Callithrix jacchus: one gene and its partners. The protein of the gene in region 1 purifies or fractionates together with the protein of each later gene. This does not show direct contact. Links are inferred from orthologs where the notes say so. Each region holds a gene or a part of one and is shown in the gene's direction. Other genes may lie near its edges. The genes, in order: SQSTM1, SOX2, CCNF, VANGL2, LLGL1, AIM2 and IRF3.

Region 1 (4,165 bases):
AGCGGGAGGACTTTCCTTGTGTCCCCCACCCCATTCAGACCGGGCCTTAGCTGGGGGCTGGGGCAGGAAAGCTGGCCTGGTGGGGCCACGTGGCTCTCAGGTGCCCGGGCTGCTGAGTCATACTTGGCCAGCACCTGTCTGCAGGCCATAGCCTCTGCCAGCATGCCTCTCTCTGTCCCCTGTCCCTGTTTGCAAGGCAGTGGCTCCAGCAGGCCAGAGGGCACTTTCCACTGTCCCCTGCTGGATGCAGGCAGAGGCCTGAGCCCTTTCCACAGGGCTGCTCTGGGCAGGCTGGCAGCCTTGCCCACTTGGAAGTCCTCCTGGAAGGATCAGTCACACCTGTCGACCAGCCCCTGCTGTGCATACACCCACACATCACCTTCATATCTGACTGACCCACCCTGGGATGTTGAATGTTTTTCCAGGTCCTGCAAGCCCTGGCCTGAAATGGCATGAATTGGACACAGCAGATTCTGACCAGCAGGGAGGCTCCATCGAGTGATCACCCCTCCTGCCCCTCTCCTTGGCCCAGTACTGATGGACAGGTCACTCTGGTGGCATAAAATGGTGTTTCTTCCTTCCTAGCTGAGGAGGCTGTTGGATGACCGTCTTGGTTCCCCACAATGCCAGCGGGCCTGAGCCCTTGCAGGGCCATGGACACTGCCTGCTGAATTGAGAAGTCCATGAGTTGTCTCTTGGGCCATAGTGAATGCTTGGCGACCACTCCACTCCTATTAAACTGGGAGCTGCTCTGATGCTCAGGCTAGAGTCAGGTGTCTGTCCCTCAGCCTACTTAGGGGCCCATCACCCAGGATGCTATGGTCTGTAAGCATGTTGCCCCCAACTCACATCCTCGCCCACCCCCCACCCCCACCTGGGGAGGCTGACCATGGCAGGGTTGGAACAAGTTGCTTGTTCTGGTCAGCAATGCCTACTGGGCGGCCTAGCAGCCCCCTGGTATGGGGACTGTGTCCCGCTCCCCCAGCACTGGGTACCCCCAACTGAGGATATTGCTGAGTCACTGCCCGGCCCAAGCCTGGGAGGGGCTAGGGGCGGGACCCCCGCCAGTCCCCTGATCCTAGGTGCAGAGGCCGGAGCCCAGGCCTAGATGCGTGCCAGGGCCGGTCTCTTGGGGTCCTTGGTGCACCCGGGCAGTGAGGAGAGAGGTCAGCAATGAGGGGGCTAAGGAGACCCGGGGCGAGGGGTAGCGGGGAAGGGGACAGTAGTGAAAGGGCCTCGGCAGGGCGGCTCTCGCGCCGCGGCGGCGACGGCGGGGGCCGGGCGGGCGTGACAGACTCCGCCCCTCGTGAGGCGGGGCGGGGCCTCCGTGTTCGCTACAAAAGCCGCTCGTCTGTTGCGCCGGGTACAGCAGGTTTTCCGCCAGCTGACTGGCTGTTATGGCGTCGCTCACGGTGAAAGCCTACCTTCTGGGCAAGGAGGACGCGGCGCGCGAGATCCGCCGCTTCAGCTTCTGCTTCAGCTCCGAGCCTGAGGCAGAAGCCGAGGCCGCAGCTGGTCTGGGGCCCTGCGATCGGCTGCTGAACCGGGTGGCAGCCCTGTTCCCCGCACTGCGGCCTGGCGGCTTCCAGGCGCACTATCGTGGTGAGCTGGCCGGAGAGCGGCGGGGGCTGTGACGCAGGCCGGGTCCGGCCTCCTGCAAAGGGGTGGCTGCCCCCTCCATTCTCGGCGATACTTGGCGGGCCGTGAGGGCGTCTGCTCTGGCTGCTCCCTGGGTGGCGGTGGCCTGCATGGGTTCCCCAGTTCGGCCTTGAGGTGACCAAAGTCGGGCACCGCTGCTCAGCGCCGGCCCTGTGGGACATGGGGCGGTGGGACCCTGCCGGCCGGGGCTCGGGCCCTGCTCGGCTGGGAGCGTCAGACGCCACCCCTCCCCCTCCGAGGTGTTGCGAATTTGGGCAAGGACGCGCCCGGGCGTCCTCTCTGGCTCTCCGCGGGAACGGGGTGGTCAGGCGGGCACTCGGGTTACTGTGACATCTTGCTGCGCCAGGTCGTGGGTTCAGATAATGCCCCGGGGAGCGCCAGCGGATCGGGGGGAGTGACGCGCGTAAACAAGCGCGGTGGTGCGGGCGCCTCGTGAGCGCTGCGACCGCGCCGGGGAGGAGGGCACCGATTGCCAACAGAACGCTCCAGGCCAGGCGGAGTACAGATGTTATCCCACTGGCAAGTGGAGAGAGTGACAAGACGAGAACATTCTTCAGAAGTGTTGGTGTGGTCACAGACACCCAGGTGCTGTTTCCTGCTGCGCTGGTGTGACCGGTGGCTGCTGGGGGTGGGGTTAGGGAGGTGGTTGTGGCCAGGAGGGAGGGAGGTGGCCAAGGCCGGCCCCTGGGAGGGGGCAGTGCTGGGACCTCCCTCTGGAGTGCTGCCAGCCTGCCAGGCCTTCTAGTCTTAAAAAAAAAAAAAAAAATTGTGTTGAGCTGTAGCTGACATAAGGGTTCACCCATTTTGTGTACAAGTCAGTGGTTTTCACCATCTTCATTGGATTGTGGACCATATTCAATCTGAGAACCTTTCATCACCTTATAAACGCCATACCTTTTATCATCACCCTATCCAAATGCCCCCAGAAACCACTAACCTCCTTTCTGTATCTATTCATCTTGCAACCCTGGAAATTTCATGTAAATGGAATCATACAGTGTAGTCTTGCAAGTGGTTCCTTTCACTTAGTGTAATGTGTTCAATGTTGTGACACGTATCAGTACTTCATTTTTTTTCTTTTGGCTGAATAATATTGTATGGACAGGCCACGTTTTGTTTACCTGTTCATTAGCTGATAGACATTTGGGTTGTTTGCATCTTTGGGTGCCACACCTGTTTCCATGGTGGATGGTGAGGTTTGGTCCGCACAGTGGTGCTTTAAAGCCATTTGAGCTCACCTGTATCTGTCACAACTGGAGACTACATACAAATACTTGATTTTTAGCTTTGTTAGGGAAGGAAGCAGGCAGATGCACTCGTCTTCTTTACTCCTAAGCCACCAAGGCCTTTGTGGGGCTGGGCCGCCCCTCAGGAGCAGGTCACAGGCAGGGATCTCCCATTTATGAAGATGGACATGGGCCTGGTCGGATGTGGAATGAGGTGGCATGTTTCTGAAGGGCCAGCTGGCCCAAGGCTAAATAAGTGCAGCAGCTGAAGCCTCTGCTGTCCCTATGCACGGGCCCTCTGTCCCCTGAATGTGGCTGTGGTCCAGGGCCCAGGTTGGAGCACTCACCTTCCAGGAGGTGCCAAAGCGAGGGGATAGTCTTGCCTCTCGCTCCTGCCTCCGTGGCCCAAGTAGGTGTGCTCCAGTGTATAGCCCTGTCAGCGTCCCTTTCATACTGGCCTCAGACCATTCCACAACTTATGTCTAGCTGAGAACCCTTGGGTGCTCACGTGCTGTCTTTTAAACAATCTAGATGAGGACGGGGACTTGGTTGCCTTTTCCAGTGATGAGGAATTGACAATGGCCATGTCCTATGTGAAGGATGACATCTTCCGAATCTACATTAAAGGTAAGGGGCTGCTCTGGGGCTGCCTGAAGCTAGCTTAGCTTGTACTCATCTCCCTGCTGAGTAAAAAATCGGGCTTGATGTTCCACCAAGGAGAAAGGGTCAGGAATTTGAAGACTGTTTAAAACAGGTACATAGGTCAGGCATGGTTGCTCATGCCTGTAATTCCAACACTTTAGGAGGCCGAGGCAGGCAGATCTCCTGAGGTCAGGAGTTTAAGACCAGCCTGGCCAACATGGTGAAACCTTGTCTCTACTAAAAATAGAAAAATTAGCTGGGCATGGTGGTGCACACCTGTAATCCCAGCTACTCAGGATACAGAGACAAGAGAATCACTTAAACCTTGGGGGCAGAGGTTGCAGCGAGCCAAGATCGCACCATTGCACTCCAGCTTGGGTGACAAAGTGAGACTCTGTGTCAAAAAAAAGAGAGACATAATAAATGTTGTGTCTGACCTGAGAAAGAGGAGTCCAAAGAGGAGTCCCCCTAGGGATGGGGTCTGGTGCTATGGTGCGTGGGTGAAGAGCAAGGCCAAAGGTGTGCAGACAGGGTCCCTTGCTGCTGCTCTGCTGCCTGGGCCACATTGCCCAGGTAACAGACACAGGGACTGGGAACCTCCTAGCAGGTTCTTGGTTGCTCTGCTGTCCTCACCTAAG
Region 2 (3,940 bases), on another chromosome or scaffold:
GAAACCCACGAGGGAAATGCCAGGGCTGGTTCTGCTGGCGCCCAGGGAACCCTGCGTGGGAGGGAGTTTGTGACTGGGGCCCAAATGCCACCTCCGCACAGTGCCGTGGGATGCCAGGAAGTTGAAGTTACCCTCCCCCATCCTGCACTTTGGAGCGCCCTTCCGTTTGTCTCTCTCTCTTTCCCCAGCCCCCATTTGAAACCCGCACGACTGAAACCCCTCTTTGGGGGAGGCCTGGGGTGGGAATGGGGAACGGGGGGGAGAGCGTAGGAGCATCCCCTTTGCTCCGGTTGACTGGAGACAGGCCAGTGGGAGTTGGGGCTGGGAGTAAGAAGGCGAGCTGCGGTTTCCTGGGCCAGAGCTGAGTGGGACAGAGAGATGGCAGCTTCCCAAGGCCTGCGGGTTCCCAGCTCTGGAGTCGGCCTCGTGGTCCGACCAGGATTGATGTTTAAGAACAGAGCACGTTAGGTGGAAGCAAGGAAGGCTTTGAGGACCGAGGTTCGAGTCTCCTAACTTCTAGTGGAGACCCTGTCTGAAGGGCGTGCGGGAACGCCGGCACCTGCGGGGGAAGAGGGGAGAGGAAGCGCGCGGCGTGGGAGCCGCAGAGGGGCAGGAGCTGGGGGCACTGCGCGAATGGGCGGCGGGACAATGACACACCCAGCCTTGCACTGGCGGTTTCCAGAAACACGAGCTGGACCGTCGCCCCGAGCCACCCACTGAGCCCTGCCCCACCCCCGCACCTTAGCTGCCCCCCGCGTCCCATCCTCACTTCAGCACCCTGCACCAAAAAGTAAATCAGTGTTAAGTTTAAAAAAGAAAAAACCCACGTAGTCTTGGTGCTGTTTACCCACTTCCTTCGAAAAGGCGTGTGGCGTGACCTGTTGCTGCGAGGGGGATACAAAGGTTTCTCAGTGGCTGGCAGGCCGGCCCGGAGCCGCCTCCCTCCCCGCCGCCCCTCCCATCCCCTCCCCTCCCCCTCTCCCCTCCCCCGCCCCCGCCCCCGCCCCCGCGCCGGCGGCCCGCGAGGCCCCGCCCCCTTTCATGCAAAACCCGGCGGCGAGGCCGGGCCCGAGTGGAGGAGCCGCCGCGCGCTGATTGGTCGCGGGAAACCCATTTATTCCCTGACAGCCCCCGTCACATGGACGGTTGTCTATTAACTTGTTCAAAAAAGTATCAGGAGTTGTCAAGGCAGAGAAGAGAGTGTTTGCAAAAGGGGGAAAGTAGTTTGCTGCCTCTTTAAGACGGGGACGGAGAGAAAGAAGAGGAGAAAGAAAGGAGAGAAGTTTGAGCCCCGGGCTTAAGCCTTTCCAAAAAATAACCATAACAATCCTCGGCGGCGGCGGCTCCGGCCGGAGGAGGAGGGAACGCGCGGTTTTTTTTTTTTTTTTTTTTGATCCTGATTCCAGCCTCTGCCTCTCTCGCTTTTTTGCCCCCAAATTGTTCCTCGCCTGATTCTCCTTGCGGAGTCCCGCGCTCCCGGCACCCCCGCCCGCCTCCCCTCCTCCGCCCCCCCGCCCGCGGGCCCCCCAAAGTCCCGGCCGGGCCGAGGAGGGTCGGCGGCCGCCGGCGGGCCGGGCCCGCGCACAGCGCCCGCATGTACAACATGATGGAGACGGAGCTGAAGCCGCCGGGCCCGCAGCAGACTTCGGGGGGCGGCGGCGGCAACCCCACCGCGGCGGCGGCGGCGGCGGGTGGCAACCAGAAGAACAGCCCCGACCGCGTCAAGCGGCCCATGAACGCCTTCATGGTGTGGTCCCGCGGGCAGCGGCGCAAGATGGCCCAGGAGAACCCCAAGATGCACAACTCGGAGATCAGCAAGCGCCTGGGCGCCGAGTGGAAGCTGCTGTCCGAGACGGAGAAGCGGCCGTTCATCGACGAGGCCAAGCGGCTGCGCGCGCTGCACATGAAGGAGCACCCGGATTACAAGTACCGGCCCCGGCGGAAAACCAAGACGCTCATGAAGAAGGATAAGTACACGCTGCCCGGCGGGCTGCTGGCGCCCGGCGGCAACGGCATGGCCGGCGGGGTCGGGGTGGGCGCCGGCCTGGGCGCGGGCGTGAACCAGCGCATGGACAGCTACGCGCACATGAACGGCTGGAGCAACGGCAGCTACAGCATGATGCAGGAGCAGCTGGGCTACCCGCAGCACCCGGGCCTCAACGCGCACGGCGCGGCGCAGATGCAGCCCATGCACCGCTACGACGTGAGCGCGCTGCAGTACAACTCCATGACCAGCTCGCAGACCTACATGAACGGCTCGCCCACCTACAGCATGTCCTACTCGCAGCAGGGCACGCCCGGCATGGCGCTGGGCTCCATGGGCTCGGTGGTCAAGTCGGAGGCGAGCTCCAGCCCGCCGGTGGTGACCTCTTCCTCGCACTCCAGGGCGCCCTGCCAGGCCGGGGACCTCCGGGACATGATCAGCATGTACCTCCCCGGCGCGGAGGTGCCGGAGCCCGCCGCGCCCAGCAGACTGCACATGTCCCAGCACTACCAGAGCGGCCCGGTGCCCGGCACGGCCATCAACGGCACACTGCCGCTCTCGCACATGTGAGGGCCGGACCGCGAACTGGACGGGGGAGGCATTCTCCGACAAGAGCGAGGGGAATCAGTGGGGGAGGGGTGCAGAGAGGAGAGTCGGAAACTGCGTGGAGAAAGCCCGGTATGCTCGAAAAGAAAAAGGAAAAAAAAGAAGAGTCTCATCACCCACAGCAAATGACAGCTGCGAAAGAGAACACCGATCCCATCCACACTCACTCAAAAACCGCGATGCCGACAAGAAAACTTTTATGAGAGAGATCCTGGACTTCTTTTTGGGGACTTATTTTTGTACAGAGAAAACCAGGGGGGAGGGGTGGGGAGGGCGGGGGAATGGACCTTGTATAGATCTGGAGGAAAGAAAGCTACGAAAAACTTTTAAAAAGTTCTAGTGGTACGGGAGGAGCTTTGCAGGAAGTTTGCAAAAGTCTTTACCAATAATATTTAGAGCTAGTCTCCAAGCGACGAAAAAAATGTTTTAATATTTGCAAGCAACTTTTGTACAGTATTTATCGAGATAAACATGGCAATCAAAATGTCCATTGTTTATAAGCTGAGAATTTGCCAATATTTTTCAAGGAGAGGCTTCTTGTTGAATTTTGATTCTGCAGCTGAAATTTAGGACAGTTGCAAACGTGGAGAGAAGAAAACTATTAAAATTTGGACATTTGAATTAAAAATTGTACAAAAGGAAAAAAATTAGAATAAGTACTGGCAAACCATCTCTGTGGTCTTGTTTAAAAGGGCAAAAGTTTTAGATTGTACTAAATTTTATAACTTACTATTAAAAGCAAAAATGGCCATGCAGGTTGACATCGTTGGTAATTTATAATAGCTTTTGTTCAATCCCAACTTTCCATTTTGTTCAGATAAAAAAGAAACATGAAATTACTGTGTTTGAAATATTTTCTTATGGTTTGTAATATTTCTGTAAATTTATTGTGATATTTTAAGGTTTTCCCCCTTTATTTTCCGTAGCTGTATTTTAAAAAGATTCGGCTCTGTATTATTTGAATCAGTCTGCCGAGAATCCATGTATATATTTGAACTAATACCATCCTTATAACAGGTACATTTTCAACTTAAGTTTTTACTCCATTATGCACAGTTTGAGATAAATAAATTTTTGAAATATGGACACTGAAATTATTCTTGAGTCTTTCATTTATTTGGTTAACACTGTGATTATACATAACTTCTCGGGGAATTATCTTACTGTGCTCAGCCGACAAAGCAAAAGACCAAAAATCCTCGGTATTACTAGTCCAGCTTCGTGTGCTAATGTTAACTGCGAAAAGGAAACGGCTGGATGAATAATAAGTACTGGAAAAATTGAAAATTTTGTCATTTCTAAAATAGAAACTAGAGACATATATTGTAAATCCGCCCCCTCCTTTTCTAA
Region 3 (3,500 bases), on another chromosome or scaffold:
AGCTGAGGTCCTCTCTCCACCCTCCCATCAGAGAGCAGTTCCCAGACATAAAATTCACACACAGTATAGTTCACCCATCTAAAGTGCGCAACTCTGTGGTTCTTACGGGGTCGTGCAGCCATTGCCACTGTCTAATTTTAGAATGTTCTCCTTTTCCCAAAAAGAGCCCCCACCCGTGCCCTGGACCCATTACCAGGGAGTCAGGAAGCGGTTCCCAGCTGGAGGGAGGATGGGACCTGAAGCGTGGCAGGGTCTCCTCCCCCTTACCTTCAGAATCCAGGCTTCTGGGAGGAGTGTAGCAGGGGCCTTGATCACAATGACCCCTCTGTTCTAGACATTAACCAAGTAGGGGGAGAAGAGGCAGGTACCCCCATCCTGGAGGGCTCTTCCCTCCTGAAACACCAGCTACACTGCACTATGGTGGGCTTTAGGCTTTACGCTGTCCACCAAGACCATGCAGAACTTTCCACATTCTGCGCCCAAGAGACATCCCTGGGTCCTGTGCTGTCTGTCCCCGCAGTGTCTGTGTCTGATGAGGCCCGTGCGGAAGTGAATGGCCTGAAGGCCTCTCACTTCTTCAGTCTCACGGAGCGGCTGAACGCTGGTGCCGTGCCCTTCATCTGGCTGTTCATCCGCCCTCCGTGGTCGGTGAGTGGAAGCTGCTGCAAGGCCGTGGTTCACGAGAGCCTCAGGGCAGAGTCCCAACTGCAGAGGGTGAGTCTGGGCGAGGCGCGAGCAGCAGCAGCACCTGTGAGGCCACCTGCAGGGTCCCAGGAACACCCCGAGGGTAGGCTCTGGACCCTGGAAAGTCAGGTGCCTAAGAGAAGTGAAGATGCAGAAAACAGAGTGCATATGTAGGGAAAGCATCTTGAAATTACCTGGCAGGAGAGGAGAAAGCCTGAGAGCCAGGGTGGGCTGTAGAGTTCTGGGCACACCTGCTGACGGCTGGAAACATGGGGCTGAGGCTGTATGCAGCAGTTGGAGCCCAAGACACAAATCCGGCCGGGTGTGGTGGCTCATGCCTGTTATCTAACACTTTGGGAGGCCAAGGCTGGAAAATTGCTTGTGGCCAGGAGTTCAAGACCACCCTGGGTAACATGATGAAACCTCGTCTCTACAAAAAAAAATACAAAAATGTTAGCCAGGGTGGTGGTGCATACCTGTTGTCCCAGCTACTTAGGAGGCAGAGGTGGGGGGATTGCTTGAGCCTGGGAGGTTGAGGTTGCTATGAGCTGTGACTACACCACTGTACTCCAGCCTGGGTGACAGAGCGAGACCCTGTTTCCACTAAAAGAAAAAAAAAAACAAGACTCAAATCTTGGAGTGGCCCTCTGCAGGGGAGGGAGGGCCAGGCAGCAGGGCCATGGGCATGGGACCCAAAGACACACAAACTGGGGAGGGACGGCCCCTGTCAGTTCTCTCTGCTGGAAATCACACTTCTTTCTCCTTTTTTTTAAGACTCACAAAGCATCCATACTGCACTGCTTGGGCAGAGTGCTGAGTCTGTTCGAGGTGAGTCACATTGTTCTCCACACTTGGACTGTGTTTGACTGGCAGTGAAAAGCGGCAGCAGGGGGCGTCCAAGGCCCAAAACCAAAGGCAAGCCTTGCCCAGGAAGGCCCAGCTGGGGAAGGCAGGTGGCACACTTGGGCCGGCAGCAGGCTGTGGTCCTGGCTCTGTGCCCCAGCTGGCGGATGAGTGGGGGCGATGAGAACTGCAGAGGAAATCGCAGGAGCTGGGCCTCCCCTCTGCTCATGTGGACCTCTCTGCTCTCGATGTCCTAATGGGCTTCGTGATCCGTAAAGCCCCTTTGCGGCAAATCGCAGGAACGTGGTGGCTTCTAGTGACAGGCATGGCAAATGCATCCGAGAAGGACACTGAGGAGAAGCCCCGAGAGCCACCACCACTGTTGTGGTGGTTCAGGGCAGTTCCTTTGGCAGCGGTGAGAAGGGCAGGCCTTTGGTGGTGCAGAGCCGAACCAGGGAGCCTGCAGGCCCAGCCCAAATGTAAACCCTTCTAGGAAGAGAGCAGGGCCTCTGTGGCTGGAGCTCTGAGTTCATGCTCCTCGCTGGGTGTGGAATGGTGTCTGTAGAGAAGCCATTTCTGCTCTGATTTCAGTAACTCATGTTAGTAAAGCTCGGGGCAACGTGTGTTACAACTTACGAGTATGGAGGCCGGGTGCAGCGGCTCCCGCCTGTAATCCCAACACTTTGGGAGGCTAAGGTGCGTGCATCACCTGAGGTCAGGAGTTCGAGACCAGCCTGGCCAATGTGGTGAAACCACATCTCTATTAAAAAAAAACACAAAAATTAGCCAGGCATGGTGGTGGGTACCTGTAATTCCAGCTACTCAGGAGACTGAGGCATGAGAGTTGCTTGAACCCAGGAAGTGGAAGTTGTAATGAGCCGAGATTGCGCCACTGCATTTCATCCTGGGTGACAAAAGGGATACTCTGTTTCAACAGCAACAAAAATAGCCAGGCGCAGTGGCTCATTCCTGTAATCCGAGCCCTTTGGGAGGCTAAGGTGGGTGGCCACCTGAAGCCAGGAGTTTGAGACCAGCCTGGCCAACCTGGTGAAACCCTGTCTCTACTAAAAATGCAAAAATTAGCAGGGTGTGGTAGCAGGCGCCTATAATCCCAGCTACTCAGGAGGCTGAGGCAGGAGAATTGCTTGAACATGGGAGGCGGAGGTTGCAGTGATCCAAGATCAGGCCGTTGCACTCCAACTTGTGCCACAAGAGCAAAACTGTATCAAAAAAAAAAAAAAAGAAAAGAATAAGAGAAGAATGAACTCTGCTGGGATTTATTCTAGGATGAAGAAAAGCAGCAGCAGGCTCGGGACCTGTTTGAAGAGGCTGCTCGTCAGGGATGTCTGAGCAGCGCATACCTCCTCTGGGAAAGCGACAGGAGGACAGATGTGAGTGGAGCCTGCTCTGGGTGGGGCGGAGTTAACGCTGGACAAAGGCACAGTTGATGCTGGTCCTTGGATGCGGTTCTGTCTGCAAAAGGGAGGTGGCTCTTGCTGCTCCCAGCCTCTCAGCCTCCAGGAGCCACTGGACAGTCGGCTATTCTTGGCTATTCTTGGCAAACCCCCAAAATGACTCCCGCCATTTGAGAGAGCAGAGGTGGGAAGTTAGCTTAGCGTCGGCCCTTCTGTGTCTTGGTACCCGTCCCTCCCGAGACACAGCGGTGTAAAGGCTCGATGATCTTCTCCCATTGACAGATGTCAGATCCTGGGCGAAGTCTCCACAGCTTCCGAAAACTCAGGGACTACGCTGCCAAGGGCTGCTGGGAAGCGCAGGTGACGTCCGGGGCTGCGACGACATGGGGAGCCAGCTCTTCTCCCTCCAGCCTTGGGGCAGGACTATCTGGGCTCCCGCATGGGAGGCTGGGATTCAGGGAAACCATAAGATGGCTTCAGGAGGCCGGGCACAGTGGCTCAGCCTGTAATCCCAGCAGTTTGGGAGGCCGAGGAGGGTAGATCACCTGAGGTCAGGGG
Region 4 (3,500 bases), on another chromosome or scaffold:
CGTTTGCTCCTTCATGGGCAGATTCACAGTGGTGGGGCAAGATCAGCTGGGAGTTAGGAGTTGGGAATGAGCAGGCATTTAGAGGTAGGGAATATTAGAGGGGGATGGACCAAAGGGAAGAGATATGGGGGGGGTCACAAACAGGGGCTTTTTGGAATCCCTTTTCTAGTCCTTTCCGGGAGGCACAGCTTCTTGTGAGCACTTAGAGAGTGGCCTGTGAAGTGACCTGGCCAGAGGAGGGAACCCCAGAGAAAGAGATAAGGAGAATTCTTCAGCTCCCAGTACACAAGCTACCCCTTGAGGCCGTGCAGAGTATCAGCGGCACGTCCTGGGTCCTGTAGAGAATCTTGGGGGAATGCTGGATGGGAATGAGGGGACCTATGGCTGGGGACCCAGACCCAATGCCCTTTCTCTGCTGGGCTTCGGCACAGCAGGGAGGGACTAGGAGGCCCAGTCCTGGGAAAGGCTTGGGAGCCTGGTAAGTAGACCTCAGGCCTGGAGCCAGCCTTCTTGGAAGCAACTTGTCCCTGTCCTGCGTCCTCTCCTGCCCCGCCAACCTGCCCTAATGTGTCCCTTCCCCTGTGCCCCTTGTCTGTCCCTTCTCCTGCCCCCTCCTGCCGTCTCCCCCACAGCATCCAGCGCGTGGCAGTGTGGATCCTGGAGAAGTATTACCATGACTTCCCTGTCTACAACCCTGCCCTCCTCAACCTGCCCAAGTCCGTCTTGGCCAAGAAAGTGTCTGGCTTCAAGGTGTATTCCCTCGGAGAGGGTGAGCAGCCCTGCTCCTCTGCCCTTCCCTGTCTCTTCCCAAGCAGGACTCCAAGTTACCACCTCTCTCTTTGTCCCTTGCTTTTTCCTTTCCTTAGCCTATGTTCCAGCCGCTTCTGTTCAGTCACTTCCCTTGACTCTAGGGGGCTGATCTCAGCTGCTCATCCTACTTGCTGTTGCTTTATGCTATGGCGTGTCCCCAATCTGGCTCCTCTGTGTCTCTCATCAGCCCTGGTCTGAGCCTTTCGGCTCTCGGAGCTGCAGAACCTCACGCACTGGGGAGGAACACCCGCAGGACTCCTGCGCTCCCAGTGCCTTCACTGTTGCTTTCCTGTGGCCTCTCCCAGAGGTGGCCAGGAGGGTTGGGACTGGGAGGTGTTGCTGGGTGGTGGGAACAGCTTCTTCTGGACATGCCAGGCTGCTGTCTCCAGAGCTCCTGGAGTGGGAAGAAAGGCCACACTCTGATGTGACCATCCCTTCTATCCTGTTCCTGTGCAGAAAACAGCACCAACAACTCCACTGGCCAGTCTCGGGCTGTGATCGCAGCGGCAGCTCGGAGGCGGGACAACAGTCACAATGAGTACTACTATGAGGAGGCGGAGCATGAGCGAAGGGTGCGCAAGAGGAGGGCCAGGTGGGTCCCAGGGGGAGAAGGTGAGGAGGAGAGGTGCTTGTGGGGTGAACTGGGAGAGGAAGACTATGGAACTTCTGTAGCTGCTGGAAATATAGAGCAACGATGACATGAGTGGGGGTGTGTATTTGTTTTCCATTGCTGCCCTAACAGATTAACACAAACTTAGCAGCTGTGAAATAGCACACATTTATTATCTCCCAGTTCCATGGGTCAGGTGCAGGCTGGCTGAGGCTGAAATCAAGAGGACTCTCATCTGAGCCTATGCTTTCTCTTTGAAGCTCATTATTGTGGGAGATATTCAGTTCCTTGTCACATGGCCCCATAGGCAGTTTACATGATGGCAGTGCACTTTTTTTCCCAGCAGAAACAGGTCTCTGACTTCTGCCACCAGCTGGAGATAACTCTGATTTTAAAGAGCTCAGGTTAGATCAGGCCCAACAGGACAGTCTTGTTGGGAGGCCACTGACTTGGCACATTAATTACATTTGCAAAACGTACTAAGATTGTTGTCTAATGAGGGATGGGAGTCTGGTAGGAGTGGGAGGTATCTTTGAATTCTGCCTACCATCATGGGGTAGGGACCCAACAAAGGGATGTGAGCTTTACCTGCAACAGCAGGGACTCAGGCTGGACTAGCCTTCCTGCCAGTAGATCTTGAGGGCACTCACCAGATGCTGCTTTTGTTGCCTTCAAAACATGAGGTTCTAGTGCCTACATGTTGGTAAATTCTTTTTTTTTTTTTTTTTTGAGACGGAGTTTCGCTCTTGTTACCCAGGCTGGAGTGCAATGGCGCGATCTCAGCTCACTGCAACCTCCGCCTCCTGGGTTCAGGCAATTTTCCTGCCTCAGCCTCCCGGGTAGCTGGGATTACAGGCACGTGCCACCATGCCCAGCTAATTTTTTGTATTTTTAGTAGAGACGGGGTTTCACCATATTGACCAGGATGGTCTCAATCTCTTGACCTCATGATCCACCCACCTCAGCTGGTAAATTCTTAAATGCCGTCCTCACTTCTTCCTTTCCCTGTTCATATTATCATGTGGCTGAGGTCAACCCTGAAGAATCTTACCTGATGCCGACTCTGCTGGGTCCCGTCTCGGTCTGTCAGGAGTTCCCTGAGGGAGGAGCAGAGTGCCTCGGGACTTGACCATGCCCCTGCCCTCTGCCCCATCTTCCACATAATCTCCAGGCTTCAAGGGCAAGAGGTAGCCCTTACCCTGTTCTCATAGGAGGCTGGCATCCCCTGTAGTAGAACAAGGATCACCAACTCCATTTCTGCAGCATTCCAGCCTATCTCTAGTTGTCTTGGAAATGGCCCTCACGGAAAGGAAACAAGCGATGCCCCTGCCCCTTTACCTTGTGCCCCGACCAGGGTCATTGAATCTTCTGTGCTGCCACCACCATTTTTGGCACATAGAGAACTCTTTCCCCATTCCCTTGCTTGTAACCAGGAGCAAACTTTCTCCTTTGGTTACCTGAGATAAAAGGATCTTTCCAAAAGGCACTTACTGAGAAATGTAGGGGAAGCAAGAGAATAAAGAAATGCCAGACATACACAGATCCACACCTGCGTCCCCGGAGTCCCGTTTGAAATGACTGACGTTCCCCGTCTCCTGGGTTCCTGCATATGAGGCTGCAGACCTCACTTTCTTCCTCCTGTCAGTTCAGGCTGCTCCTGCTCTTAGGCCAGGGGGGTTTCGGTTTGGTTTTTGGACTTGAAGTGCAGAGAATTGCATTAGTTGCTCTTTTCAGCTTCTAACATGTTGTCATTATAGGGTTCCTTGTGGTTCTTTATTCTGTTTCTCTTTTCCTCCCGTTTCTTCTTTCACTCCAGCCCCACATTTTAGGCATCCAGTTGAGTGTGTTTGATTTCCTTAAAACCTATATGTATCCTTGTGCAAAGTTAACGTTAGTGTAGTCATCTTTGTTGGTGTTGGTGTGTGTATCGGTATGCTTTTTGTTTATTTTGTTGAGATAGAGCCTCGCTCTGTTGCCCAGGCTGGAGTGCAGTGGCGCGATCTCAGCTCACTGCAACCTCCGCCTTCTGGGTTCAAGTGATTCTCCTGCCTCAACCTCTCCAGTAGCTGGGATTACAGAT
Region 5 (3,500 bases), on another chromosome or scaffold:
GCTACTTGGGAGGTTGAGGCAGGAGAATTGCTTGAACTGGGAGGTGGAGGTTGCAGTGAGCCGAGATCACTCCACAGCACTCCAACCTGGATGACAGAGCGAGACCATCTCAGAAAAAAAACCGTTACCATCCAGCTCCCCCAGGGGAGTGCAGTGGATTTTCCCACTGTCTGGATGTGGCAGATGGACCTGGAGGTGGGGGTTCTTTGGCTTTTTGTTTTTTTTCTGACTACAAAGACCCAGAAGAGGACAGCCTCGGGCTTTTAACTTGTTCCACTTGTTGCCTGGTCACCCACAGACCTCCTGGGGGAGATGGATGGTAAGGGGTTGTTGTGAGCTGGGTGAGCCTCTCAGATCTAAGCCAGGAGAAGGGAGGTTGAGGCCTGGAGTATGACAGTGAGGGGCACTGGCCCTTGTCCAGGCCCTGAGGCGGGGATATGTGTGGGTGCTGCCCAGCCACTTGGCTGGAATGGAGCCGGTGGGGGTCGAGGAGTGTGGCTCAGGGAGGTGCTGGTACTAACCAGAGCTGAGGACCTGGCTTGGACTCTTGGTGGCCTGGGAACTCTTGACTAGGTCCTGGATGTGCTGAGTCATTGACTTTGTACAATGGGAGAATTTCAAACATACACAAAAATAGAGTGGTGCAAAGTTATCCCACATACCTTGCCTGCCTGCCACCAGTTATGTGCCTCTACAGAAGCCGTCCCCCTCCCCCATACTCTTTACTGTTTATCTTGCTGGGGTATTTTAAACGAAAACCCAGACACGAGTACTTCAGCATGGGCCTGACAGATGTCACTGACAGCCACTGTTCACATCATGCCCTGTAGAACCAACGTGAATTCCTGAGTGTCATCTGCTTGGTCGAGCTCTGCTTTCTGATGTCATTTATTTGTCGAGGGTCTTTGTGCAGTGGATTTTCCCACTGTCTGGATGTGGTGGATGGAGCTGGAGGTGGGGGTTTCTTTGGCTTTTGTTGTTTCTGACCACAAAGACCCAGAAGAGGACAGCCTGGGGTTTTTAACTTGTTCCACCATCCCAAGGAGGGTCATGTTCGTGGCCGCCTGGGGCTCCTGTTGTGCATGTTTACTTACTGCCCCAGGATTCATCAGGTCATCAGGGTGCAGGTGGGTGAGCTTCCAAGTCTGCCCTGGCTTCTGCGGGGCTTGGCTCTGATTCTCCACTAAAGCTCATCCCCCAGAGGTTCAGTTCACACAGGCAGAGTAGGGTCGGTGGATGGGCGTCCTAGGTGTCCCCAGGCTCGGTGGCTCTGGCTGCCATGTAGGGAACACACTGAAGGCGGGGTGAAGCAGGGGTGAGACAAGACGCACGTGTGGGGTGCATGAGGGCCTGGTTCCAGTCTGTTGACAGGACTAGCAAGGGGATGCAGGGCTGGAGAGAGGAGTCGGGCTTGTAGGGCTTGGGGGTGAGTGATGCTAGGATGGAGCTGCATTTACTGATGTGGGGGTTGAAGCTAGTGGGATGGAGCTAGAGGGTTCAGGGTCTGGTTTGGGTGCCCATTGGCATCCTGTGCAGATGCGCTCTAGCTGTTGGGGCCTCTGCAGGAGGGCTGCATCCTGGCCTCTGACTGCAGTTAGCAGCCTAGAGCTGGGATCTCAGGCCTCAAAGCTGGAGGTCATCAGGGAGGCATGGGACAGGAAGGAACCAGCCCTGAGTCCCAGGGTGTCACAGTTAGGAAGGAGAGGTACAAGAGAGGCCGGGAAGTGCCTGCAGTCTGTGAGGAGACTACAGGGGAGATGCCTGGCCCGCAGGGAGCACCCTCCTCACGAGCTCGTTTTCTGCAGGGGCCCACCATGGGCCTACCATGTGGGCTGGCACCAACTCGGGCTCTGTGTTCGCCTATGCGCTAGAGGTGCCGGCAGCAGCAGTGGGTGGTGAAAAGCGGCCTGAGCAAGCAGTGGAGGCCGTGCTGGGCAAGGAAGTGCAGCTGATGCACCGGGCGCCTGTGGTGGCCATCGCCGTGTTGGATGGGCGTGGCCGCCCACTGCCCGAGCCCTATGAGGCCTCACGGGACCTGGCGCAGGCACCTGACATGCAGGGTGGTCATGCTGTGCTCATCGCATCTGAGGAGCAGTTCAAGGTGAGCCACTGTGGGCTGTGGGGGACTCCTCTCCAGGACCCTACCATTGGATCCTCTAGAGCCCCTGCTTGCCTGTATCCCCCACTGCTGGGACCCTAAGACCCTTGCACCCCAGCAAAACACCCCTAGTCAGCAGAAAATTTCTCCCAAAGAACTCTGATGCCCCCTCAGCCTGCTGAGTTCCTCTAAGACTGTCCTATCTCACTGTCCCCTGCAAGGCTCCTGTACTCTGCCAAGAACCCTGAGCCCAGTCCCCAGGGATGCTGCCTTGAAAGAACTCTAGGCACTCTGTGATTGAGGGCCTGGGAGGTTTCTGGAGTACAACGTGAAGTCTGGAGTTTAGTGGGGCAGTGCCAGCAGGGCCAGCCAGGTGTACAGGCAGGGGAGGCCACGTGGCAATGAGGCTGGGCTTTGTGGTGGGGGCTGGTGGGTCTGCAGCCATGAGGGTGAGGGGCCCTGGAGATGAGGACAGGGCCAGGCTCTGTGCTCACTGGCCACCTGCTGTCAGGTTTTCACACTGCCCAAGGTGAGCGCCAAGACCAAGTTCAAGCTCACGGCCCATGAGGGCTGTCGTGTGCGCAAGGTGGCATTGGCCACGTTTGCCAGTGTGGCCTGCGAGGACTATGCTGAGACCTGCCTGGCCTGCCTCACCAACCTGGGCGATGTCCACGTCTTCTCGGTGCCTGGCCTGAGACCGCAGGTGCATTACTCCTGCATCCGGAAGGAGGACATCAGCGGCATCGCCTCGTGTATCTTCACGCGCCACGGCCAGGGTGAGGTGGGGCTGAGGCCAAAGAGGCCTTCCTTAGGCAAGCAAGCTGAGCAGGGCCAGTGCTGCTTGGGAAGGGCCTTCCAGGTGGGCACAGGCCCTGCCCACGGAGGAGCTGTGGTTGGTGGCATCTCCTAACTGCAGTCCTCATTCTTCTGTCCACCCAGGCTTTTACCTGATATCCCCATCAGAATTTGAACGCTTCTCCCTAAGTGCCCGGAACATCACAGAACCGCTCTGCTCTCTGGACATTAACTGGCCCCATGATGCCACCCAGGCCAGGTGTGTGGATGGAGGCAGCCCCTGGTCTGGGGGACCTGTGACCAGGGCGAGTTCTCATCCCACCCCCAAGATCTGCCTTCCCTGGGCTTGGGAGTGGGAGTGCAGAGATCTAATGTGCCAGCCTCAAGGCACCCACCTATGGTCCCCACATGCCTATCTCTGCATTTACAGACTCCGAGAGTCAACCAAGCTGAGCCAGGCTAACGGGACCCCAAGCATCCTGCTGGCCCCACAGAGCCTTGGTGGAAGCCCTGATCTAGCCCACAGCAAGGGATCTGGTGAGGAGGGGCATGAAATGGGTCCAGGCCCTGGCCCCACGGTGCCCTAAGGGAGGGAGTCAGGACTCTC
Region 6 (3,500 bases), on another chromosome or scaffold:
TCACTTCTCACACGGTTCTCTGTTCTTTATCTCACAGCATGCAAATAAGGGAAGCAAGGCCACAGTATGAAAAGTGATCTGAGTCACAAAAAGAGGAACTACCTCTGATTTATCAGATTAAACACCTGTTGAGCTTCTAATCCCTTCCAGGCCCTGGACACATTAACACTTGGTTATGGTTTGAATTCTACAAGAAGAAAACTCTGAGACAGACAGTTGTTTACAGGAAGTCTATTCTAGATCACTTTCAGAATTAGTATCTGTGAGGAAGCGAAAGGAGTAGAAGAAGAAGAAGGTCAAGAACAATGTATTTGCAGTAGAGGCCTTGGCCTATCTGACACGGAGCTCGGGAGCTGAGAATGCCTTTCATGGCTCCCATGATCTGGGGGAGTCTGTGGTTTGCACAGGCCCAGGTCCCCAGTCACATCAGAGATTCAATTCAGAGACTCTTACACTCTGCCTGCCATGCCTCTGTTTCCCCTGTATTTCCCCTTGGTTTTTGACAACAAATTGCTTTTTAAAAGTAATGTAAAAAAGTCCTCTATATAGCTGCATGGACAAGGTGAGGCAGCCCCATTTAGGTGAGAGAGTTTGCCTAGAGACTCTTGTTCTTAGTGAGAATGAGGGAACAGCAGGCAACATCCGAGTCCCAGCACAGAACCGACCACACATGCAATTTCATTTCCTATGAAGCAGGTGTTACTTCATTTTATAGCTGTATGAGCTACAGAAACGATATACTTCATCTCTTTGTCTAGAGTAGCCATTTCCTCTGCGTTTGGCCCAGAAACATCTTGATTTTTCAGGAAAACAAGTATAAATGTGTGATTCCATCATCAGTCATGAAAATATGCATTGTTTAGTCTGGAAGACCCAACTAAAGAGACATGAACCAAACAGAAGGGCTTTTACAGTGGACCTCAGTGAAGCTGACCTTTCCCTGCCTTGGTCCAAATGCAGTCAGTCGTACTGCCCATTAGGGACCCTTACTCCCCCAAACTCCATTGGCCCAAGCTTCAGGTCACATCAGAGACACCCTTCAGAAACCCCTACACTTGGCTTTTTATGCCTCTGTTTGTTTTCCCCTGTATTTCTCTCTGGTTCTAGATGGCAAGTTACTTTTAAAGAGTAGTATTTTCCCCCCAAACAAGGTATTTTACCTCTGTTAATTCAGACAAATAAAGAAACACAAAGAAAATAAAATTACCTATAATTGTATCATCTAGGAAAAAACTGTATTGATGTTGGTAAATGTCTCTCCGGTGTGTTTGTTTATGTGCTTTAACTGCTTACTTATCCTTTCTCTTTTCAGGACCTTTCCCTTTATTGAATCAGTTATAAGTTTATCATATTATTTCTCTAAAGCATTTTTAATATTTGCATAGCAATCTATTTGTGACTATACCGTATCTTATTTAACCAAATCTAGTTTTTAGGTACTTAAATTATTTCTTTTTTTTATGATTTCAAATAATAAGATGTATTTTTTAAATGTGAACCTTAGTTTATAATTCATTATTTCTAAGGGCAAATCCATACATGTAGTATTGATTCTCCTTTTAAATCTCCTTTAACTCACTGATAAGATCTCTGGCCTAGGTCTCCCCCTTAACTTATATTAAATATAATCTGCATTTTGTTACGTACAGCGCCTTCCTGGGAATTTGGGGAGCCCTGTGCAGGTCACTGAGCTCCCTCACTTTTATACTAGAGTAAAATGAACGTTTTGGACAGAGAAACAAGGACGCATTATGCCCTAATGGAATCGATGGAAGATGGAATCCAATTTATCAGATTTACCCCATGCCTCAGCAATATTTCAGAGATCTGATGAGCTCTTTATACATAGCAATTGGCAAAGCAAGAATTTTGTTTCAGGAAATCCTACCTCCAAAACCTGTTACGCCGTCTTAGCCGAACACAGGAGCTGAAATCTTCCGTCCGCATTCTCTGTTGTATCCAGGTCGTTCTAGGCCTCAGATCTCTTCCCGACCCCCTCTATAACGCTCCCCTTGATTCTACCTATCTTCAGCTGGCTTCCTGAGGTTTAGCACTGTGAGTGAAGTAAGGTCCTCTCAATAGACTCACAGCTGATATCTTTTAGACTCACAGCTGATATCTTTCTTCTCTTGTCTTCAGCCTGAGCAGAAACAGATGGTGGCCCAGCAGCCCTCTATCAGAGAAGGGTTTCAGAAAGACCCTTTGCCGGTTATGGTACTGAAAGCAATGAAGCCCTTCATGTTTGAGACCCAAGAAGGCAAGCAAGAGATGTTTCATGCTACAGTGGCTACCGAGAAGGAATTCTTCTTTGTAAAAGTTTTTAATACACTGCTAAGAGATAAATTCATTCCAAAGACAATAATTATCATATCAAGGTATTATCGGCACAGCGGTTTCTTAGAAGTAACTAGTGCCTCACGTGTGTTAGATGCTGAATCTGACCAAAAGGTTAATGTCCCTCCGAACATTATCAGAAAAGCTGGGGAAACCCCGAAGATCAGCACACTTCAAACTCAGCCCCTTGGAACAATTGTGAATGGGTTGTTTGTAGTCCGGAAGGTACGTCTTCATATCTAATTTCATATTGATTAGTAATAATATTTTTCATCTGATCTTAAAGCGACTTTAGAAATGGTTTTAATATCTTTCTATATAGACAAAAAAATACAAAGTTCTAAAGAGCTGCAGAGTTAACATGCCAAAATTCATACAAAAACGCAAAAATTGTTTTTATTGTCAAAAATCTGTCACAATCCTGTTTCAACTTATTCTTATCCCAGTAGCCTCTGAAAAAAAGAACTAGTTCATTCACATAATTTTTATCTCTGTGTTATTTATTTATTTAAAAGAGACGGGGTTTCACCATGTTGTTCAGGCTGGTCTTGAACTCCTGACCTCAGGTGATCCACCCGCCTCAGCCTCCCAATCTGTGTTATTTTTATACTTTGTACATATCATCTTTAAGTGACTGTTTTTGAATGTGATATAAGTGTAGTTGTAAACCAGATCAATTGACCTGAAAAACCAGTATGTAAGGCAGGATTAAAGAACTGTGATTAAATGAAGAAAACAGAAGAAAGAGTTAGCTATGGGCCAGTCGCGGTGGCTCACGCCTATAATCCCAGCACTTTGGGAGGCCGAGGCGGGTGGATCATGAGGTCGAGAGATCGAGACCATCCTGGTCAACATGGTGAAACTCCTTCTCTACTAAAAATACAAAAAATTAGCTGGGCATGGTGCTGCGCGCCTGTAATCCCAGCTACTCAGAAGGCTGAGGCAGGAGAATTGCCTGAACCCAGGAGGCGGAGATTGTGGTGAGCTGAGATCGTGCTATTGCACTCCAGCCTGGGTAACAAGAGTAAAACTCTGTCTCAAAAAAAAAAAAAAAAAAAAAAAGAGTTAGCTTGAGGAGACTTATTATAAGTGAGAAATTTAAAGTATTATGACTCTGAGCCTCAGGGAAATAGCCTTGTGGGATGACTTTTTCTGATCTAGGACAG
Region 7 (4,001 bases), on another chromosome or scaffold:
GCAGGGAAGACATCTTCGAAGGCGGCTCAGGAAGTCTGTTGGCTCTTCTGGGGCAGGGCTTCTGGGGAGGAGGACTTCAGAGAGTGACCCCACCAGAGATCCTCTGTAAGTCACTTTTCTCAACTCACTCCCTCCCCCACTGAGGACCTCTCTCCAAAACCCCAAAGACAGAGAATAGAGTCAGATATAAAGAGAGGAGAGAGACTGAGACCAGGAGCAAGAGTTAGGAGGGGGCCTCAAATCCTGGCCCCTCGGGGAGAAGCACAACTCCTGTTACCTGGGTGAAGTTGCAACAGGAGACCCGGCAGTCTCACCACGCCTGAGGAAGGCAGCTAGGACCCTCAGCGTGTCTTCCCGGAGACCCAGCTCTTCTGAGCCTGCCATGGAGGCACCTATGAGAGAGGGGGCTAGGGACTGAACTCCAAGGATTTATCGAGAAGTGGAGGCTTGAGGACCGGGAGTTGTGAGTCCCAAGGAAGGTGATGAGGGCCCGGACTCCTGGGTCCTTTGGAGAGTGTGGGTCTGGGCGCTTAGACTCTTGAGTCCTCAGACAGAAGAGGGAACAGGACAGACTCATTAATCCAAGGAAAGCTAGGGGGTGGGTGCCCAGATTCGTGGACCTAAAGGAGGAGGGAGCTAGGGTCCTAGATTCCTGAGTCTTAGAGAGAAAGGAACTGGAGCCCCTGACCCTTATGTCTCCCAGGGAGAAGGGGCTTAGCGCCCCAACTCCTGGATTCTGAAAGAGGTATATGCCGAACTACTCAAACTCTTAAAGCATCGGGAACTACCAATCCCAGCAGGCTTTACGGCAAATCTTCTCCTCGGTCCCCGCTTCTTCGCCGCACAGCCTGCTGGGAGGTGTATTTCCAAATCTCCTGCTCCTGGAATATACACTTGGATGTCGGAGAAGCGGGACTGGGTTCTCACTCCTGCATCCCGGCCGCCTCCTCTTCCCTCCACACCCCGACCCTCGGCAACACTCCGCTGACCTGGTCCGGGGCCCCACCGCCGCCACCTCCACTCAACTTGCCGCCTTCTTCACTCAACTCGTACAAAACTTTCTAGGTCAACTTTCCCGCCCCTGCGCACTGGGCCGGGTGGGTAACCGGCCCAACGTAGAAAAGGCGGAACGCTGGCTGCACGCTCAATTTGCATTTGACGCTCCCAGCATGCCTCTGGCCGGAAAGCCGAAAAAGGGCATGGGGGCGGGGACAGCCCGGGCCCTACGGCCTGTCCCTTCGGCTCTGGGTTCTGTCACTCAAAGAATGATAAAGTTGTTTTTATTTCAAGAAGTCGTTGGAAAAGAAAGTCCCAGCGCTCTAGAACTCAGCTGACGGGAAAGCGGGTGTTCAGCCTCGAGTTTGAGAGCTACCCGGAGCCCCAAGACGGGTGGGCTCCAGCTCCCCGCACGCCCCGACCTTCCATCGTAGGTAACGCGGAAGAGCCCGGGAGAGCGTTGGTGGCGTTCGAGAACGAGGAGCGGGAAAGATGATGGGTCTGTACGGAAAGTGGAAAGGCAGGCTGTATAATCTGGGGAAAGTGGAGAAAGGAGGGAGTGGCCGGCGCTGGAGGTCTGTTGCAGAAAAACTAGAAAAAGTAGGGAGGGAAGAGAAAGAGGAGGCGTCTACACTGAGGGAGATCTAGAGAGGGAGGGGTGGACTCCGCAGATGCGGGCAGTTCGCTCTCGAAAGCTGAGGCGTGCTCTGGAGGAGGGAGGCTGGCAGTCGAGGGAGCATTGTGGATGGAGGTTCTGCGTTGGAAGTAGGTAGGGGATCTTCTCTAGGGGGACTGTGGAAGGGGGTCTACACTGGGCTAAGTGCAGGCGGTAGAGGCTTACAAGTGAATCGATTCTGCACTGACATAGCTAGGGAAAGAGATGTTACCCTGAAAGTGGGGTTACTTGCTTTCGATATGGGGAAAGAGGGGGTCTACACTGGCAGAATTGAGGGAGTGGAGGGTCTGTACTGAAGTCGCTGGGGAAGGGTGTGCCATGGATAGGGGAAGGAACCCTAGCTGATTAGGGAGCCTCTCTGGCGGATGGGAGGATGGGAAGAGGAGGTTTCCTGTTTGTACCCCCGAAAACATGGGTGAAGGACCTGTGCCGTAGCCCATGACAGGGAGTTCTGGGCGCGGAAACTCCAGGCCAGGTGGGTCCAGGAGAGGCCGGCCGCGCCCAGGAAATGCCCTGTACGCGCAGGCCGGACCATGGGAACCCCAAAGCCACGGATCCTGCCCTGGCTGGAGTTGCAGCTGAATCTGGGGCAGCTGGAGGGTGTGGCCTGGGTGAATGAGAGCCGCACGCGCTTCCGCATCCCTTGGAAACACGGTCTACGGCATGATGCACAGCAGGAGGATTTCGGAATCTTCCAGGTGCGTGCGACCAGGGACGCTGGAAACCAGGAGCTGCGCGCTGGGCGGGAAAGACTCCGAGAGGCAGGGTTGAGAAGGCGGCGGTAGCGCGCGAGGGGCGGGCTCGTGTCAACGCTGGTGGGTGGGGCCAGAACGGGAGGGGCGGGGCTAGCCGGATCAGCTGACTGATGGGGGCGCCGGGAGGGTCGGAGTTGCCGGTTCCGGGAATAGAACTAGAACTGGGAGAGCCGGGTTAGTACGCAATGAAAATGCATCCTATGGGTTTGGAGCTCTCTAGGGGCCGGGGTTCCTAGTAGTAGGATCCTGGGGGATTGTTCTTGAAACATCAGAGGTGAGACTTGGAGCCCCAAATCTGGGGTTCCTAACCACCGAATTAGTATAAGCCAGACGTGGTAAACAGTGTGAGGGACGAGGTTATCACCGAGGGTGTCCTGAGGCAGGTGGTGCACGGGGTTAGTAGGACTTGAAAGCCTGGCTTAGAAAGAAAAGGTTTTTGGGGGGCGCGGTGGTTCACATAGAATCCCAGTACTTTGGCAAGGCCGAGGCTAGAGGATCGCTTGAGCCCCGGAGTTTGAGACCAGCCTGGGCAACACAGGCCCCGTCTCGTTAAAAACAAAAGAGGTTTCAAAGGCTTTTGAAGAGGCGGGGCGCGGTAACTCACGCCTGTAATCCCAGCACGTTGGGAGGCTGAGGCAGGCAGATCATTCTAGAAAACTAGAGGTGGGGATGGAGGTAGGTGGGATGGGGGGATTTGGGGATGGACCTTGCAGAGTTACAACTTGCCAGGGAAAGAGGGTGGTGTTAGGATGCCGGAGACAGGGTTGGGGCTCCGGGACAGGATCTAGGTCGTCCTCTCTCACTATCCTCACACCACTGTTGCCCCAGGCCTGGGCTGAGGCCACTGGTGCATACGTTCCCGGGAGAGATAAGCCAGACCCGCCAACCTGGAAGAGGAATTTCCGTTCTGCCCTCAACCGCAAAGATGGATTGCGTTTAGCAGATGACCGAAGCAAGGACCCTCACGACCCACATAAGATCTACGAGTTTGTGAACTCAGGTCTGCCAGATCGGGGTCAGTGTGGGAGGCTGGGGTCCCAAGGGTTCCTGGCACCCCTAGCCACTTCAACACCTTTCTCAACAGCAGTTGGGAACTTTGCCCAGCCAGACACATCTCCAGACACCAGTGGCGGAGGCAGTACTTTTGATACCCAGGTAAGAATGTGCCCAACCTTCACGCCCCCACTGTCTGTCCTGTTCCCATGGACTCATCCTCTCCCTGTGGACCAGTGCGCCTCCCTCACCTCGTCTGCCCCTCACCTGAGCCAGTGCTGGCCCTGTCTGTCCCATGCTCCAGTCTCCTCAGGAGAAAATTCAGTCTTCACTTGGCATTGAAGGCACTCAATTTGCATTTGACACGCCTTCCCGGGATTTCCTGTAGATCCTTGATTGGCGGGGGGAGGGGGGGAGTGGGGGGACGGCTGTCTGTCAGCCTCTTGGGAACTGAAAACCTCCCTCCCTCCCCTTGATCCTGCCGCTGTCAGAGCCAGGGGAGCATCCCCTCTGAAATTCTGCCCAGGCCTTGCCTGCAGAAAGCCAGATCCTGGGGTTGGAATGGTAGCATGTGGCATTCA

The links.
Region 2: the proteins of SQSTM1 (region 1) and SOX2 purify together in Homo sapiens (affinity purification with western blotting; 3 studies listed by BioGRID, with this or other methods). This does not show direct contact. The link is inferred for Callithrix jacchus from reciprocal best matches to the Homo sapiens genes SQSTM1 and SOX2.
Region 3: the proteins of SQSTM1 (region 1) and CCNF purify together in Homo sapiens (affinity purification with western blotting; 3 studies listed by BioGRID). This does not show direct contact. The link is inferred for Callithrix jacchus from reciprocal best matches to the Homo sapiens genes SQSTM1 and CCNF.
Region 4: the proteins of SQSTM1 (region 1) and VANGL2 purify together in Homo sapiens (affinity purification with western blotting; 3 studies listed by BioGRID, with this or other methods). This does not show direct contact. The link is inferred for Callithrix jacchus from reciprocal best matches to the Homo sapiens genes SQSTM1 and VANGL2.
Region 5: the proteins of SQSTM1 (region 1) and LLGL1 purify together in Homo sapiens (affinity purification with mass spectrometry; 3 studies listed by BioGRID and IntAct, with this or other methods). This does not show direct contact. The link is inferred for Callithrix jacchus from reciprocal best matches to the Homo sapiens genes SQSTM1 and LLGL1.
Region 6: the proteins of SQSTM1 (region 1) and AIM2 purify together in Homo sapiens (affinity purification with western blotting; 3 studies listed by BioGRID and IntAct, with this or other methods). This does not show direct contact. The link is inferred for Callithrix jacchus from reciprocal best matches to the Homo sapiens genes SQSTM1 and AIM2.
Region 7: the proteins of SQSTM1 (region 1) and IRF3 purify together in Homo sapiens (affinity purification with western blotting; 4 studies listed by BioGRID). This does not show direct contact. The link is inferred for Callithrix jacchus from reciprocal best matches to the Homo sapiens genes SQSTM1 and IRF3.

Annotation. Positions count from the first base shown.
Region 1 is NC_133503.1:71,820,503-71,824,667, reverse strand, and holds the start of SQSTM1 (sequestosome-1), read left to right. Parts: upstream 1-1,365; 5' UTR 1,366-1,397; coding exon 1,398-1,602; exon of another isoform or gene 1,603-2,244; intron 2,245-3,416; coding exon 3,417-3,512; intron 3,513-4,165. UniProt on the Homo sapiens protein: Molecular adapter required for selective macroautophagy (aggrephagy) by acting as a bridge between polyubiquitinated proteins and autophagosomes.
Region 2 is NC_133516.1:9,953,814-9,957,753, forward strand, and holds SOX2 (transcription factor SOX-2), read left to right. Parts: upstream 1-1,140; 5' UTR 1,141-1,594; coding exon 1,595-2,554; 3' UTR 2,555-3,684; downstream 3,685-3,940. UniProt on the Homo sapiens protein: Transcription factor that forms a trimeric complex with OCT4 on DNA and controls the expression of a number of genes involved in embryonic development such as YES1, FGF4, UTF1 and ZFP206. Binds to the proximal enhancer region of NANOG.
Region 3 is NC_133513.1:4,368,402-4,371,901, reverse strand, and holds part of CCNF (cyclin-F), read left to right. Parts: intron 1-520; coding exon 521-714; intron 715-1,458; coding exon 1,459-1,512; intron 1,513-2,813; coding exon 2,814-2,918; intron 2,919-3,224; coding exon 3,225-3,302; intron 3,303-3,500. UniProt on the Homo sapiens protein: Substrate recognition component of a SCF (SKP1-CUL1-F-box protein) E3 ubiquitin-protein ligase complex which mediates the ubiquitination and subsequent proteasomal degradation of target proteins.
Region 4 is NC_133519.1:20,363,647-20,367,146, forward strand, and holds part of VANGL2 (vang-like protein 2), read left to right. Parts: intron 1-632; coding exon 633-769; intron 770-1,266; coding exon 1,267-1,402; intron 1,403-3,500. UniProt on the Homo sapiens protein: Involved in the control of early morphogenesis and patterning of both axial midline structures and the development of neural plate. Plays a role in the regulation of planar cell polarity, particularly in the orientation of stereociliary bundles in the cochlea.
Region 5 is NC_133506.1:82,670,684-82,674,183, forward strand, and holds part of LLGL1 (lethal(2) giant larvae protein homolog 1), read left to right. Parts: intron 1-1,805; coding exon 1,806-2,101; intron 2,102-2,609; coding exon 2,610-2,874; intron 2,875-3,037; coding exon 3,038-3,152; intron 3,153-3,323; coding exon 3,324-3,430; intron 3,431-3,500. UniProt on the Homo sapiens protein: Cortical cytoskeleton protein found in a complex involved in maintaining cell polarity and epithelial integrity. Involved in the regulation of mitotic spindle orientation, proliferation, differentiation and tissue organization of neuroepithelial cells.
Region 6 is NC_133519.1:19,049,005-19,052,504, reverse strand, and holds part of AIM2 (interferon-inducible protein AIM2), read left to right. Parts: intron 1-2,139; coding exon 2,140-2,559; intron 2,560-3,500. UniProt on the Homo sapiens protein: Sensor component of the AIM2 inflammasome, which mediates inflammasome activation in response to the presence of double-stranded DNA (dsDNA) in the cytosol, leading to subsequent pyroptosis.
Region 7 is NC_133523.1:43,428,673-43,432,673, reverse strand, and holds the start of IRF3 (interferon regulatory factor 3), read left to right. Parts: upstream 1-1,201; 5' UTR 1,202-1,488; coding exon of another isoform or gene 1,489-1,495; 5' UTR 1,496-1,667; coding exon 1,668-1,761; intron 1,762-2,197; coding exon 2,198-2,370; intron 2,371-2,519; exon of another isoform or gene 2,520-2,601; intron 2,602-3,255; coding exon 3,256-3,427; intron 3,428-3,511; coding exon 3,512-3,582; intron 3,583-4,001. Other genes in the region: BCL2L12 (bcl-2-like protein 12), read right to left, coding at 1-61, 278-384.